Styela clava: one gene and its partner. Each later gene encodes a partner of the first gene's protein in a complex. Links are inferred from orthologs where the notes say so. Each region holds a gene or a part of one and is shown in the gene's direction. Other genes may lie near its edges.

Region 1 (7,808 bases):
GGTTACAGGCAGTTAGTGAACCACCATTTAAATGCAAGTAGTCTGACTGTTCTTTCACTTGTGGCCTATATACTCAGGTTCTAAAGTATATTTATCAGTAGTGTTATCGCAATTTCTGAATGAAAAATTAATTGTTGTATTATTGAAACATCACATAAAAGCATTCCCACATTATTGTTCAGATATCCTCCAGTCTGTAAAACATACCTCGTGTTTTTTGAATATGCCCTACTCCCTAGACTTCTAACATCCGAAAGAACTTATAGTTCAAGTCTTTTGTTCACCGACTGCCTTGACCTGAACATCAGTATTTAATCACAAGTAATTCACTTATGGCCCTCTTCGAATACAACGGTAAATTGTCATTTTATCTTTATAATGGTAATCGCAGGATTAATGTCACTAAAAAAAAATTATTTTGACTAGGAAATTAATTATTTGCCACTGTTAGGTGTTATTATTCAGTGAATTTATAATTCTAATTTCAAGTGTCTGTATTATTGCTCAAATATTATCATCAATTCAAGACAATAATTTTATATTCATCACTTTTTTTCAATTTTTCATAATTTGTGTTTCACCAATATGTTTCTAGTCAATTAATTATTAATAAACTAGACCGAGATTGCCAGTTGTGAAGACTCAACCAAACAAAAGTAGGAATAGAGATGGGATGGAAATCTGTCATAAAAACGCTAGTGACTCATTCTGTTCAGTATGGAATTATTTTTGAGGCGGTTGTGATGATATTTTTGTTTTTAAACTGTGTTGAAGATGAAGTGGTTAGTGAAAATGTTGTGATCAGCTGATTATGGAATCCGTGGATTTTTATACTATATCTCCATGTTGAAGATGAAGTGGTTAGTGAAAATGTTGTGATCAGCTGATTATGGAATCCGTGGATTTTTATTCTATATCTCCATGTTGAAGATGAAGTGGTTAGTGAAAATGTTGTGATCAGCTGATTATGGAATCCGTGGATTTTTATACTATATCTCCATGTTGAAGATGAAGTGGTTAGTGAAAATGTTGTGATCAGCTGATTATGGAATCCGTGGATTTTTATACTATATCTCCATGTTGAAGATGAAGTGGTTAGTGAAAATGTTGTGATCAGCTGATTATGGAATCCGTGGATTTTTATTCTATATCTCCATGTTGAAGATGAAGTGGTTAGTGAAAATGTTGTGATCAGCTGATTATGGAATCCGTGGATTTTTATACTATATCTCCATGTTGAAGATGAAGTGGTTAGTGAAAATGTTGTGATCAGCTGATTATGGAATCCGTGGATTTTTATACTATATCTCCATGTTGAAGATGAAGTGGTTAGTGAAAATGTTGTGATCAGCTGATTATGGAATCCGTGGATTTTTATACTATATCTCCATGTTGAAGATGGAGTGGTTAGTGAAAATGTTGTGATCAGCTGATTATGGAATCCGTGGATTTTTATACTATATCTCCATGTTGAAGATGAAGTGGTTAGTGAAAATGTTGTGATCAGCTGATTATGGAATCCGTGGATTTTTATACTATATCTCCATGTTGAAGATGAAGTGGTTAGTGAAAATGTTGTGATCAGCTGATTATGGAATCCGTGGATTTTTATACTATATCTCCATGTTGAAGATGAAGTGGTTAGTGAAAATGTTGTGATCAGCTGATTATGGAATCCGTGGATTTTTATACTATATCTCCATAGTGCTGGAATGTCACAAGCGTACAGTCTCTGGGATACTGCACTATAGATTTTGATTACCCAGGATTTACAGACTCTACTGGATGGCTATTTGAATAGAGTCTTGTCAATGACTCACTATGCCTGCTCAAGTGTGTGAGAATGAACACTAAGACAGTGTTGTTACGGGGCACTCTTTGGATGCATCAATCGCATCCGTTGCTGCCAGAAAATTGTTTGTCGAATGTGCAAAATTGAAGGACTTGTTTTAAAAGAGGGTTTGCTGATGTCAGAAGAGGATCTGCAGATAATTCCTTTTTTCGGGTATTCATCATCAGTAAAGCATTAGATCCATCATTTTCGATTGCAAATAGATTCCCAGTGACTGATAATAATTTACCACTTATTCGCTGCCCTTTAATGCTTTTGTATGTAAAGATGTCATTCCTCGCACACATGGAATGAAACAAAACCAAAAAGTTACTTTTGTTAAATTTTATGCAGTACATGGTTATGGCATATAGATGCACCTGAAATTCCACAGCTTCTCAAAGATGTTAGGACAATCAAAAATTTTCTTTCCATGCTTGTTTAGTATCATTTTAAACAGTCAATTTATATTTTTTGATTCAAGTTTTACAGATTTGTTTATGAGCAATGTTTTTTTTTTATTTAATATAATGTTGATTCTTAACAGTGTCTTGTATTTGCTAGCATAAAACTTTTGGTATGCGGCAGCGGAAATCTAATGAAGGGAATAAAAAAGAACATGGAACAGTGAAAGTTTCGAATGAAAGTATAGATGATACATCATGCGGAAGCAAAACTGTTGTAAAGTCAATAATTGTCTTCACTGTTATGCTTTATGTAGCAATACCTTTGATGTTGGCTTTTATACCACAAATAGTAGAGCAAATTGTATTTATGAATTTATACTATGCAAAGAATGAACCTGCATCTTTATCACAGCCAAGTACTCAATATGAACTCTTTGGTACAGCCTCATTTCGAATGCAATGTGACAATGATGAACTTGGGGTTTGGCATGTTTTACCAAAATCTAAAATGACAGAATATAAAGAAGACGATGTATTGACATCGGATGTAGTTCGTACCCATCTTAAAGATGCAGAACATGTTATTGTATACCATCATGGTAATGGTATGTCAAGAGGAACGGGGGACCATTACCAAAGACCGGAACTATACAAATTGCTGCAATCTCAAGGATATCACATCATTGCATTCGATTACAGAGGATTCGGAGATTCAACAGGCTGGCCTTCGGAAAAGGGCTTAGTCAACGATTCTTTATGCATTCTCAATTGGGTGAGGGGAAGCATTGCAACCAACGCCAAACTAACATACTGGGGACATTCATTGGGATCGTCAATAGCAACACTGGCAGCCAAAAAAGCTGCTGATATTTGTGAGAAAGACCATAATCTGAATACTGGTTATAAAATTGACAATCTTATTTTGGAAGGAGCTCTCACTAATGTTCGACAAGGAGCGGAGGACAGCAGTCTTTCACAGATATTTATGGTTATTTATCCTAAATCTATTTTTCGCTTTGTTCTTGAGAATGCTTTAACTGTTAAGGATATTTCTTTATCTACTATCAATGATATATCAAAAGTGAATTGTCCTATCATGCTCTTGCATGCGGAGGATGATAGTGATATAAAGTGCAAACATAGTGATGAACTTTATGTTGCAGTAAGCAAAGCGACTCAAACAGACAGGCGGAAAAGAATTGAATTTGTCAAGTTTAAAGCATCTCATGGATACGGGCACATGGATATTTACAAGGCACCAGAGTTGCCTCAATTACTCAGTAACTTTTTAACAGACAAAGACAATTCAGACAGGGTTGTTACTTTGTGATCAGAGGAAAAGCCTATCTCGTTGCTCAAATTCATAAATGGTTCTTTTTTAATTTCGTTATCAATATATACCCAAATACAAAGTGGAATTTATGCATGTCCCTAGTTTGCTGTGACTCATAACATGATTCTTCATATATTGTGATTATCAGGCATAGAGAAATGACATGGATCACATTCCTCAACTCGAGTGACATGCCATTTGTAAATAGCTGCAAGAGCTTTTGACGAAAGATTTGTGATCTCAACCAAAAAGTTCAAAAAATAAATTTCTTCGAAGCTAAACTACTTCATTATCTGTGCAGAAAACCTCTTGAACGTTTTGAAAATTATAGCAGCTTGACATTAGTACTAATTTATAAATTGTGTTATATGCCGTATGGTAACTTGACATTGTGGATTATTTTTTAAGCAAATGCACCTATCATGACATACAACAAAGTCACAATAAATTACTTCTCTGTTTAATAATGAAAGTTGTATTCAAACTGCATTTTGTAAATAAAGGGTGCAGTTTTTTTCATTACTTTACTTTTTGGTCAGAGGTGTTTGTACTTTTATGACTGGGCTTTCTACTGAGAAATTCGGGTTTTTACTCAATATTGTTTAGAAAAAAACTTGATTCAGTGGGTTCTCAATACTGTAATTATTTTTTTCAGTGTTTTCAGTTATGAGTGGAAGTGATCAACCATGGATACCATTAAGTATCATGTTATCAATGTATGGCAGTAGAATAACCAGTAAGCTGTTGTTCAGATATCCATACAATAAATCTCAAAGTGATACTCAGCCATTGTCTTCCTACAAACAACTGACATCATCAACTTTTCATCTAAACAGGCAACATGGGTCAGTGTCTGATGATTCGGACGATGTAAAAAAGGCACCAAGAAATGAAGCAGAGCAGTTGGATTCTTTCAGTGATGAACTACTAGCAACTATACTCAGTCCTGGAAACACCAAGATTTGTGGAAAAAAGTTTGACCTAAAGACGAATGGAATCCGTTTTGTAGGTTTCCCTTTGGTTATTGACCAATTCAGCAGTGTATTATCAAAGTTTGATATTTTGGAAAAATATAGGCAAAACATCAAAGAGCATGAAGGTTGTAAGAAAAAGGAAGATTCTACACTTTTGTCATTCAACATTGTGTTTGTATTAAAAGCGGTAGCGGAGTACACCATAGTTGAAAAGTACCAAGAGTTGGCACTACAACTTGGTCTTGCCTTGCGATTTGAAGAAAAATGTTCCGATTACTTGACCCACGAAACAAGGCTTATGCTGTCAGTGCATGACGAGATGTCCTTAGAATCTGAGTGTATGGCAGAGCCTGAACACGCCTATAAAACTATATTAGAAAAATCCCACCTGGCCGACCAGCTTCACATCATATTCAATAGTATTTGTCAAACAGGTATCCTGTCTGTTAAAGTAAACAATTCAACACATATTAGTTTTTGTTTGCCTCACAAAGTTCATAATATGGCTTCGTATGGACAAAATACAATATCTGTTTCTTTCATTGAAAAAGCTATAGAAAAAATAAGGCCATATCATGGCATTCTCATATTTGACAAAAAGGAAATATGGTCGACTTTACCAGATGATTATACTCCATCTCTTACAAGATTATTAACAGTTTACGAACCAACAAAATCGCTCCAATGTACTGCATCTGATGCAGATTTGCCGCTAACTCAAATTTATACTTTAACGTCACAATTGGTATATTGGGGTAAAGCGTGTATTATATATCCGTTATGCGATTCAAATATCTATGTTATTGCGCCATCAGCAGAACTAAATCCAAATTCAGAAGCAGCGAGATCTTTTTACATGAGGTTCAACCATGATATGGTGGATGTGTTGTCAAATTTCTCACTACCAGTTCGTCTTAGTGATTTCCAAACTCCACACGGACTATTTTATGGTGAAGAAGATAAGCTAGCTCAAGTTGTGTTTTGGCTCTTGCAACATCGGTTTTTAATACAAATGCACACTTTTATATATTTCTGCCCTGTTGAGGCTGACCAACAGTCTACTATGAGCGAGCAGAAGCCTCCGATTCAAAATACAGAGACTCGTTCAATTATTGCAGGATTGCCCTGGAAGCAAAGGAAAGCAATTATGGATGTCCATGCATCCAATAGCGCTAAAGATTTGAGATTATTTGTAAATTTGTTGAAATATTTTGATGGAAACTGTCACATGGAAGAAATAATGTATAATGAAAATTTATCAAGAACTCAGTTGCTGGCTTTGTTGGATAAATTTTCACCTGTTTTATTAACAACTTCAAGGGAAGATTCAACTACTGCTGCGTTTTGTATGGGTTTGATATAGATTGTCTTCACTTTATGCATGCAATTACAATTTACATTTTGAGAAAACTGGTTTATTGGCGAAACTACATCAACAGCAAGAATTTGAATTAGTACCCAATTTTATGATCAATTTGCCATTAATCGAAATATATAGTTTTCAAAATATGATTAACCAGCTCTAAAACTTACATTTCGTTTCCATTAACTCTAGAGACACCTGCTTCGCTGCTTGTTATTGAAATAGTGAATACTCTTTTCTATGTAGCTGGTGGTCATTTGCGACTTTCTGTTATTTGAATAGTAAAAAAAATGCAGGTCCATGGTACTTTATAAATACTAATATATATTGCTCCATATAAAATTACAGGTTGTGGTTTAGTTGTCTAACTAAAGGAGAAAGATAGTCAATCACATGTTCCAGTCTTCGTAGAGTTATTTCCAAGCGTCCTTGAATGTCTACGCTAACTCCTCTGACACGAAGTGGCTCGAGTGTATCCTCGGAAATGCTAGTACAGTGTTCGCAATTAAGTGTCTCCAATTCTTGACAATATTCCTTTATTATCTTTACACCAGAATCTGTCATTTTCCAGCACTCTATGATATCCAAATGCTTTAACTTGCGGCAATTTTTTGCAATGGCGTCAAGGCTTTGGTCAGTCAATTGGTTAATTTCTGATATGTTCAAATATTCCAAGTTTGGGCAGCATTTGGACATGAACTCCACACATTCATCATCTAGCAAAGAACATTTCTGTAAATCCAGTAGTTTCAGTTTTCTGTTGTTGGAAATGAACACCATAAAATTGTCGTGGTCAACCCATGTACAACCCTTCAGACGTAAATGAGTAAGATTTTCACAGTACATTCCTAATATGCATAGACTTCTATTTGTTAAACCCTTACATTGTGATAAATTAAGGATCGATAAATTGGGGCAGTCATTTATAACTGGAACAAGAAGGTTGTCGTCTATCCAATCTCCGATATTGGGGATAACAATGGTCCGGAGTGATGAATTGCTTTTTGTTAATATTTCAAATGTGGTAGCATCCGCTATACCATCAGAGTCTTTGATATGGATGTGATGGCATTGAGAAAAATATTCCTCCATCATATTGTGAAGTTGTCGACATACTGCACGTAGCCGGAATAAATCGATCATAGATAAATACTTGAATACATTATGATACAGAACATCATGCCTAGGCAGTGATTCTAGCAAATTAGACTCCATAACTTGAACCTTATAGCTACATTTTCAATATCTGTGCAATTTAAAATGGTTTATCAATTGTTTTAAACATAGCGAGAGGAACATGTTTGTAGGACAAGTAAATAATGCATATGAACAAAAAGTCTTATCCCTCTATTTTGAGCAAAAATTGAAAATGTCATTTTAATATTCAGTGACTTTATTGTTACAACAAAGAGATTTAGTTTCTATTCTAGGATACTGATTCAAGTTTTTCTGGCTTTCGGTCGAGGATACCGGTATTGTACCCTAACGTATGTTATGTGAGATTTGAGGGATTACCGGAACTGACCAACATTCAGACATTAGCTAGACAAATCTAGCCACTCCGGTAAGCTGGTTTTCCCGTCAACCGCACCAGAGACAATGTTATGTAAAATCTATGGTCGCACTACCGGTGTGCATAAAGAAATGCTACGGAAAAGCAGCAGCCCCAAAACTATGAAAGAGAGAGATTTATGCTCGCAATATACGGTACCACTGATACGGTAATCGGACACGTTTAGTGGACATAACGATCGTTTTGTTGTTATCTTGTTTTTTTTGTTGTTCAACACTTTTCGGACACCTAGTTGATCACTGGACCAATTGCTTTGAAATTTTTGGTGGTTAAAGATGAAATTTTTCTCCAGAAATCTATTACTTTTATTTATTTCAAATATTTCTG
Region 2 (8,585 bases), about 5.9 Mb from region 1:
GCCATCTAGGTGCACATACTTCAGGAGGTCCCAATATTCTGTAATTCCTATCCTGTTGGATTTTTGTAAAGTTGGATTTTAGAATGTATATGGAAAAGTCCAGTAGCCTACCTATTACAGTATTCTGTTAATATTTCACCTCCAAATGACACGAAGCGAACTGCTTGATCTAAGTAAACTTTAATTAACAGATCATACCATACAGACTGCGCCATTTTCCAGTACAGCAGTACTGATATAAATTACGAATGCAGTAAAATTATAGGTATTTATCCTTGACGTTATTCAAACTCAGAAAAGTCCAACAATACCGAAATGGTAAGGGTACTAAGCATAACAAAACATCCTTATAACAATATAACTGCTGAACTGTATAAATTTCTTGGCTAACACATCCAACGTAAGCATCGGTGCATCAGATATAGTGTAATATTCTCAATCTACGCAATTACACAAGCCCACATACTTATTTTTTGCATGGAAAATGCAACAAGAATACAAAAATTGGACAGAGAATAAGGAAAATACGAAGCTGTTATATTGGAGTCTTCCTATTCGCCACCTACCGTATGTCAGTATGTCTCAAACACTACTCGATCTAATGAAAATGATGAACAAATCGTAAAATTGCAATAGCTTTCACAAGATACCTAATAAGCATAATGTTAATTGCCGTTGCACAGAAACTAACATCCTGATTGACCTTTATCTGTATATTAAGTTCATGCTTCCGAAAATAAAATACCGGTACCCAACTAATCCCATACCCGACATGGAATGGTAACCAGACTAGGCCGTGGTCCCCCATACCCCATATGGTCAAGCTGTCTTAAGGGCTTTCCTCTTCCCCGGATAAATTTGAAAATCCTATCCTATTCTATGTATTGACTTGACTTGTGAGCTTGTTTTTAGCAAATTTAGGATTTCTTTCATTTAGGTGATTAATTAGGATTTGCATTTCGAATCATTTGCTATAATAATATTTGGATTATTTTCTTTTTTTGCCAAATTTAATTCCAGAGCCAATTTCAGTTTTTGTTTTATATAATTTTTTTTTTTTCTTTTGGAAAACAATTGCATGTATTGCGTTCCAATTACGGTACCGGTAATCGAAGAAATTAAAACAGTATAAACAATCAATAATACATATCAAACCCAGTGATGATAATCCATTTTTCGTCATATATCCGTTTGTATTGAAGATTTTCCCTATTTCGTTATAAATATAGCATTTTAATGTAACGTTACATATATAATTATTTTCTATGCAACACCCTTGCCAAAAATTTATATTCTAGGCTACTCACATTCTAAAAATAAATGACATACCGGTACCGGTACCGTACAGTTCCTGGTTCATCGAGGCCGTATACCGGTACTGGAAAACCAACGTATACTACATAGTCTATTCAGCAGATATTACAGACAGACAGATAACAAGCAGCTGCCCCCGGCTAAGCGGGTTTTTGATGCACCAACTCTAAACAGGCTTCGCACCAAACATCACAAATTTTGTGAATTTTGGAATTTAGGCAACTCAACACCGCCACCTGGCAACTCCTCGACATCGGTTCACCACTTACCAAAAACAGCACAAAATTAAGTTGTATGACAATGTTCATGCAATGCCTCTGGAAAAACATGAAAAATAATGCGAAACATGGCGAAGAGAGATCTATTTTCCCACACAATGTTAGCATTATAAAATGATATAAAACAATATTGAATTGCTCTGGGTATGACTCATCGGTTCCCAAACTTTTTTTTGTTCATGCGGCGCCAAATTATCAGCAAAAAAAAGTCACGGCGCACTTACACGGAAACAATGCTTCTTTTCAATAAAACCTAATTTTGTGTTCGTAACATAACACTACGTAACAGAAAGTAAACGACATAGAAAGGTAAATGAATTTATTGCCCGATATACACAGCATTTAAAATGAGAAACAATAAAACATTTAATAAAAAAATTCAATATGTAAAATATTCAATCATATATTAGTTATGTTTAACAGCGCGGCGCCCCCATTGAAAACCGAATATTTATTTATTTTTATACTGGCTCGGTTTTGTTTTGATGATCAGTAGCGTACTAGATCTCAGTATGGGACCAGTCTAATAAATAATTTTACACATGTCCTCGAACCTCATAATCCTGCTGTTGAGTGTCGAATAATAAAGAAAATATCTGCTGACATTTATATTGTAGCAACCAATTCTGTCAGTTTGATTATGACCTCCGACGGTTTATATCTGCCCACTCCACATAATTGTCTTTTGATGCCAACAACGCAAAAAACAGCTGCACAAGAGAAGTTTCATTGGAACTACAATTGACTGCAAAAACATTTTGCGGAAAGCGACGCTGATCGGGATCGCGATCTACAACTTGAAACAATCTGTTTATAATATTATGCTTCCTATGTACTGCTCATGTTCAGACAAGCGATTACACGATGAAAATATACGTTTTTGAGTAACGCAACGGTCTGAAATATTTATAATTTCCCGATTTTTTTTATTACATAAGTATATCTTGAGGCCACTTTGTTGGGGCACCAACTATGATAATAATTTAATCATGTCCGACAAGTAAGACCAAATTTCATTAATTACCTGACCCTGATTAGCCACTAAGGCAAAATATTGTTATGTGGGTCACGAGATAAAATTCTGACGCAAATTAGGAAAAGTTAATAGCACATAAAAATTTTCAATCATTTGGTAGTCAACATAAGAATGGAAGAAGAACAAAAATATTCCTAATTATCAATTTTATAGGGCGAGAAAGAGAGAAAGAGAGTTTGTTATTTGCCAAACCATGAAACACACAATACATGCATAAATATATAAATAATAAATAAACAGATGCTTTGGTGTATGACTGGGAGACAACGATACGACCTTTTGGGGTCATCAGAGTCTGTTGCCACCCGTACAATTATATTATTAGTAATAATATATTTTATCAGGTACTGTGTAAGGTAATTCAATACCTTTCGTTTATTTATCATATACACCAGAGCTGTGCAAAGTGCCGCCCGCGGCCCACAAGGGAAATTTGTGTGGTTCGCGGAAAAGTGCCAATTTTTGATGGTGTGTGGCCATCGAAATTGTGTAATTCAGTTTATAATCTGGTTCCCTGTGCGTTGCAAAGCTCGTATCCGAGCCCAATTCACTGTTTATGCCTATGGCGTTACAGGGTCCTATATCTCCTAATTGATATTATTAAAAAATACAAAAGTTAAATAAATTTTGGTTTCAGCCTATCAGTTGATTTTGTCTAAATCTAATTTAGAATAAGATTTGACAGCAAATTATTTGGAAATTAATCTTGGCGATTTTTACCGGAAACATCTCTCGAAGCCTCGAAATATGAATATCAAATTGTTAGCATTTCCATTAAAGCAAATTTGGCTAAGGTAGTCGGGAAAAGAACCCAGCAGCAAATTTCCCACTGAATTCGTTCAAATTTGGAGTGACAATAAATTTGAATAACAGTTTGATAAATTTATGCGTCAACTCATCATTTTTGCAACGACCCATAATAATGCCATAAGATCAATAAAAAAAGACATTATTTTGTGCCTGTTACTTTAGAAAGCCTATGTTAAATGAAGGTGCGGCCCGCGGTTTTACCCAAGTATTGATATCAGGCCCGCCGGCGGGAAAGTTTGCACACTCCTGATTAAATACACTATTTACAAGACTTCCTTATTTTTGAAAAATAAGAAATTTTGTGACAAAAAATACTGTTATATTTAGCTGAAAGATTGTTGTATATTGCATAGTATCTAACTGCATGAAATTTTTTTCGTACATTAATATATATTACATATATTTTCTAGTTTACTAATTGTAGTCGACAATCTTGGAAATTCTGCCTGAAGTTAAACGAAACGACATTTTCAGGGCTATGCTCATGGGTATGCCACGCATATGGCGTTGATTCAAACTTGCAAAACATCACTGCTCGATCGGCGTCAAGAATACGCTTACATACTTTTACACGAAAAAGTTTATTCATAAAACAAACGAGTCATTTAGCTCTACTGCGGCTACGACCAACACACAAAGCTGTCAGTCTGTCACCGTAACCCCATACCTAATTTGCTATGATGATGCCGAGTTCTGAGGTGCCATAAATAAAACCGGCACCCAACTACACCCCCTGCGTGACCATGAACTAATATGTTTGTTCTACTTGTCTAAAGCCTTGCTTTGAGTGAAAACGTATAAGGCCTTATTGATGAAGTGTGGCAAAATACATTACCTATCGCTGGACATAAAATAATGAGTCTTTATGTGTGTGGTACCGAAGTGAACGTAAATTAATATGCACTTTTCTTGCTTAGAGTGAAAAATAATAATAAGTCCTTATGTGTGTGGTACCCAACTACACCCTCTGCGTGGACGTAAATTAATATGTCCCTTTTTGCTTGTCTGAAGTCTTTCTTAGAGTGAAAACGTATAGCACCTCATTGATAAAGTGTGGCACAATACATGACCTATTGCTTAAAAATAACAAGTCCTTAGGTGTGTTGCACCGTAGTAGTATATATTTACGGTTGTACCAAACTAGATTAATTGCGTGAATGTAAATTAATTAATATATCCAGTGTCAACCCACGAAATTGTTCAGATGAGGATCCGTGAACGTTGCTTGGTGAAAATAGGTGTCTCGCTTTAGTTCCGTTTGTTAATTAGGAGATCAGCGAAACGATCCTACGAGAGGCATGTACTTGCACTCTTGTAGGCACTGTGACGGGTGTTCGTCGCCCTTTGGCAAGCTCTATTTCAGTATTTCGTGATAGTGACGAATTTTTGGATGACGCAGTCAGGAATCATAAATGCAAAAATTGTTACCCACGCCCACTAGAAGTTATTGTGGAACGAAACTAGACGAGACCCAAAAATTGTTATGCTACGCCCGCTAGAAGTACGTTAGGTACGATACGAAACTACACGAGACCCAGAATTTCTGCAGAATGACACCTGACAGGAATTGTGGGTTAGCTTTTCAGATAGACAGGTCTTACAGTAGTCAGAATATGGTTTTATTCTTGATGAAATTATGGTACCAAATTCTGTAGTTGGTCAATTCACAAAAACATTACATTGATACGTTATAATTGAATAAAATTAAGACTCTGAGATAAAAAATAATTGACTGAATAAATTTATCTCTTACAGGTCCATTGATTAAATCCATTGAATACCGCATACTGGTATAGACAATGAAGAGAAATCAAATAGTATCAGATTTTGGCACTAATATCTCAAATGGAGTAACATATGCAAACCAACATTGCACAATGTATGTTGATGTGGGTGGACCTATCAACATGCTAGCAGCAAACAAAGACAGCTCTATGATAGCAGTTGCTGGACGAACTATTTTGAAAATATATTCAGTAGATGACACTTGTTTTAAGGAAAAAATAAACTTGAGAGTCGGAAGAAGACAAGGGCTCAATTTAAGCTGTGCTGATGTGGCATGGAATCATTTAAATGAAAGTTTAATCGCAACTGCTGCTACAAATGGAGCTATCATTGCATGGGACTTAAGTGCATCAGGCAGAAATAAACAACTCGAAATATTTACTGATCATAAAAGGACTGTTACAAAAGTATGTTTTCATAGTTCTGAGCCTGGGAGATTGCTTAGTGGTTCTCAAGATTGTACAATGAAAATGTTTGACATGAGAAAAAAGGAATGTATTGCCAGTTTCTCCAGTAAAACTGATGGTGTTCGATGTGTGCAATTTTCTCCTCATGAATATTTTCAATTTGCGGCATCGTTTGACAATGGTTCTGTTCAAGTTTGGGATTACAGGTGAATTACGCCTTAAGTTTGTTAAAAGTTGGAATTAATCAGTTTTGATCTTCTATGCTTTTGGTTCAAAAGTCTTCGTGTTGAATTTAATCATGAAATGTAAACACCATTGCAAGTTGAACAAATTTTCAAGTCATGACCGAGAAATATAAGCTAGTTTCATATGACAAAAGTTTGATTATTATAATTTTCTATTTCAGAAACACAAGTTCCTGTTTGATGCAGTTCATAGCCCATAAAGGATCTGTTTATTCAATTGATTGGCATCCGGATGCCAAAGATAAACAGAGAATTGCAACAGGAGGCAGAGACAATAAAGTCAAAATTTGGGATATGATAGATCACAAAATGTCTGAGCATATGGTGATACCAACAAATTCTTTAGTTGCCATGGCTCGGTGGAGAACGCAACGACGAGAACAGATTGCAAGTGTAGCAATGATGCTGGACCATTCTATCAATGTATGGGATATGAGACGACCATACATGCCGTTTGCTCATTTTACAGAACACACTGATGTTACAACTGGTATAGCGTGGAAAAAAAATGATCCAGAAATTCTATTTTCATGTTCTAAAGATGGGACTCTATATCAACATTCCATTAGAGATGCACATCGCCCATCAGAACACTGTAACATTTCTGGTCTTTCTGTAAGCGCTAGAGGATATATAGGACATGCGTCCACTGATAGTACAAATTCATATGATGCCATACCTAGTACTAAGACTAAAGGAATGACACGGTTTGGTTTTAGAACTGTTGTTGGGGTCGCTCCAAAACTGGATACAAACTCGTGGGTACAAAACACATTGTCTACTAGTAGTATGAATATTAAATTTGCTCGATTTCTAAATGCTAAATCAGAGCTTGGGATACACAGTATCACTCCTATCAAAGAAGATGACTTTCCTACTTCCTCGGACGTACATCCTTCAAGTCTTATCAAGGCCGCCCAGCAATACAAGCTACAAGGAATGGCATTTAATAAACTATGTTTACACAATGCAAAAGTTTGTGATGATCTTCAAATGAGCATTGATGCAAACATATGGAGATATTTGGAAAGGTTTTTTGAAGGAGTTTCGACAAAAAAGACAGAACGAAGCAACTCTACTACATTTCATACAAACTCAGCAGAAATAAGCAGTCTTAAAACTGGGAGAGAGTCTATGAAAAATGGGATTGTTACTGGGGAAAGCAACGGAGAAGAATCCGAACAACACTCAGATCCAGAGACTGAGCATTACCTGACAGATATAGCAAAGGGCCATGCTACATCTGAACAAGAGTGTTATTACTCTGATGAGTATGATTTGAGTGAGGACTTTGGGAAAGGTCATCACGGTGGTATTTCTTCAGGACCAGAAGGATACATGGATCAGGATTGGTATCCTCTTAGCGATACAATCAGTGATGCTACACTTCCATCTGAAGCTTTTAAACAGAGACTTGTACTAACTGCCACTGATGGTTTTGAAAACCAGCTTGATCCAGCTATAAGTGGAGAAGAAGAGAAACTAATAACTGCCGTTCCTGTTATGATTCCATCTTCAACATCACAGCAGAATCATAACCCTGAAAAATGGAGGAAGAAGAATAATAGTCGGAGTTCTGGCCCTTCAGCTGTCTCCCTGCATTCACAATCTTCATCTCCACATGAACAATTATCAGTATCTCCTGTGGTTTACACCAGACCCTATGAAAACCCTGCTTTGTCAATCAGTCGTAAAACTGAACTGCTTTCTTCAATGTACGAGTCTATGATAAGCAACGGCAACAACATTCAAATTATAACATGTACAATGATTGTCCTGGGTCATTATTATCCCTCAATAAGTCTTCCTATTGACGATCATCTGCTGGAACATTGGCAAAATTCATATCTGGAATTGGTCAGTCGTTATGAACTATGGAACCATTTCACTGAGATTATTAATTTAAGCACACTTCCTTCCATAAAGAATATGAACACTTCATCCACCCTAAACACCTGTTGCGGAATTTGCCATAAACGAATGCCAACTGCAAACCCATGGAGTTGTTCAAAACATTCTGATAATGATCATAAACAAGCAGGCATGGGGGCTGGTATAAAATGTTCACTGTGCCAGTTAGTTGTGAAAAGTTTGTATACATGGTGCCAAGGATGTTGTCATGGTGGACATATAGATTGCATGAAAGATTGGTTTAATTATCCACATAGCAAAGGCAGATGTCCAACAGGATGTGGGCACATTTGTGCTAGTTCTAGACATAGACTACCAGTCAAATGAAATTGGTATATATACAAACCTAATTATGTTTATGCAATTTTACACATTTTTTCATATCACTGTCAATTATGCTCAAAATGTAGTTGCTGGTCATGACCATATGTAATTACGGTCAATCACATCTTGGGCACTAAAGAAACAACTTCAATAGCCTCTGAATTTGACTCGTTCGTTTACTCATGCTCCCCAGGTAGATAGCAATGACAATGGCACAGATTTGGTCGCGCCAGAAATGTATGTACCAATGTGGAGGTAGATAATTTTGTTTGCCTACTTTACATCAAGTTGTGCAAAGGGACTGTCAAACCAATGGGGCCCAACACAGACCATCCCCGAACTCGTAAGGAAAATCATGATTTGTGGGTCGAACATTACATTCAAAACTGCATCCTGGCACAAGGTCGTTTAAATCAGACCACCAGTCCTGGTTGCGAAGAAGGTAGTTAATTAATTGATTAATTGAGAGAACTGA

Evidence for each region. The genes of interacting proteins can lie anywhere in the genome.
Region 2: GATOR1 complex protein NPRL3-like (region 1) and GATOR2 complex protein WDR24-like share a complex: the UniProt entries of both Drosophila melanogaster proteins name them as parts of the GATOR complex. The link is inferred for Styela clava from reciprocal best matches to the Drosophila melanogaster genes Nprl3 and Wdr24.

What each region holds. Positions count from the first base shown.
Region 1 is NC_135253.1:12,145,184-12,152,991, reverse strand, and holds GATOR1 complex protein NPRL3-like, read left to right. Parts: upstream 1-4,235; 5' UTR 4,236-4,237; coding exon 4,238-5,908; 3' UTR 5,909-6,250; downstream 6,251-7,808. Other genes in the region: lysophosphatidylserine lipase ABHD12-like, read left to right, coding at 2,411-3,568; uncharacterized protein LOC120325627, read right to left, coding at 6,251-7,123. UniProt on the Drosophila melanogaster protein: An essential component of the GATOR subcomplex GATOR1 which functions as an inhibitor of the amino acid-sensing branch of the TORC1 signaling pathway.
Region 2 is NC_135253.1:6,287,109-6,295,693, reverse strand, and holds the start of GATOR2 complex protein WDR24-like, read left to right. Parts: upstream 1-5,197; 5' UTR 5,198-5,237; coding exon 5,238-5,836; intron 5,837-6,036; coding exon 6,037-8,113; 3' UTR 8,114-8,585. UniProt on the Drosophila melanogaster protein: An essential component of the GATOR subcomplex GATOR2 which functions as an activator of the amino acid-sensing branch of the mTORC1 signaling pathway.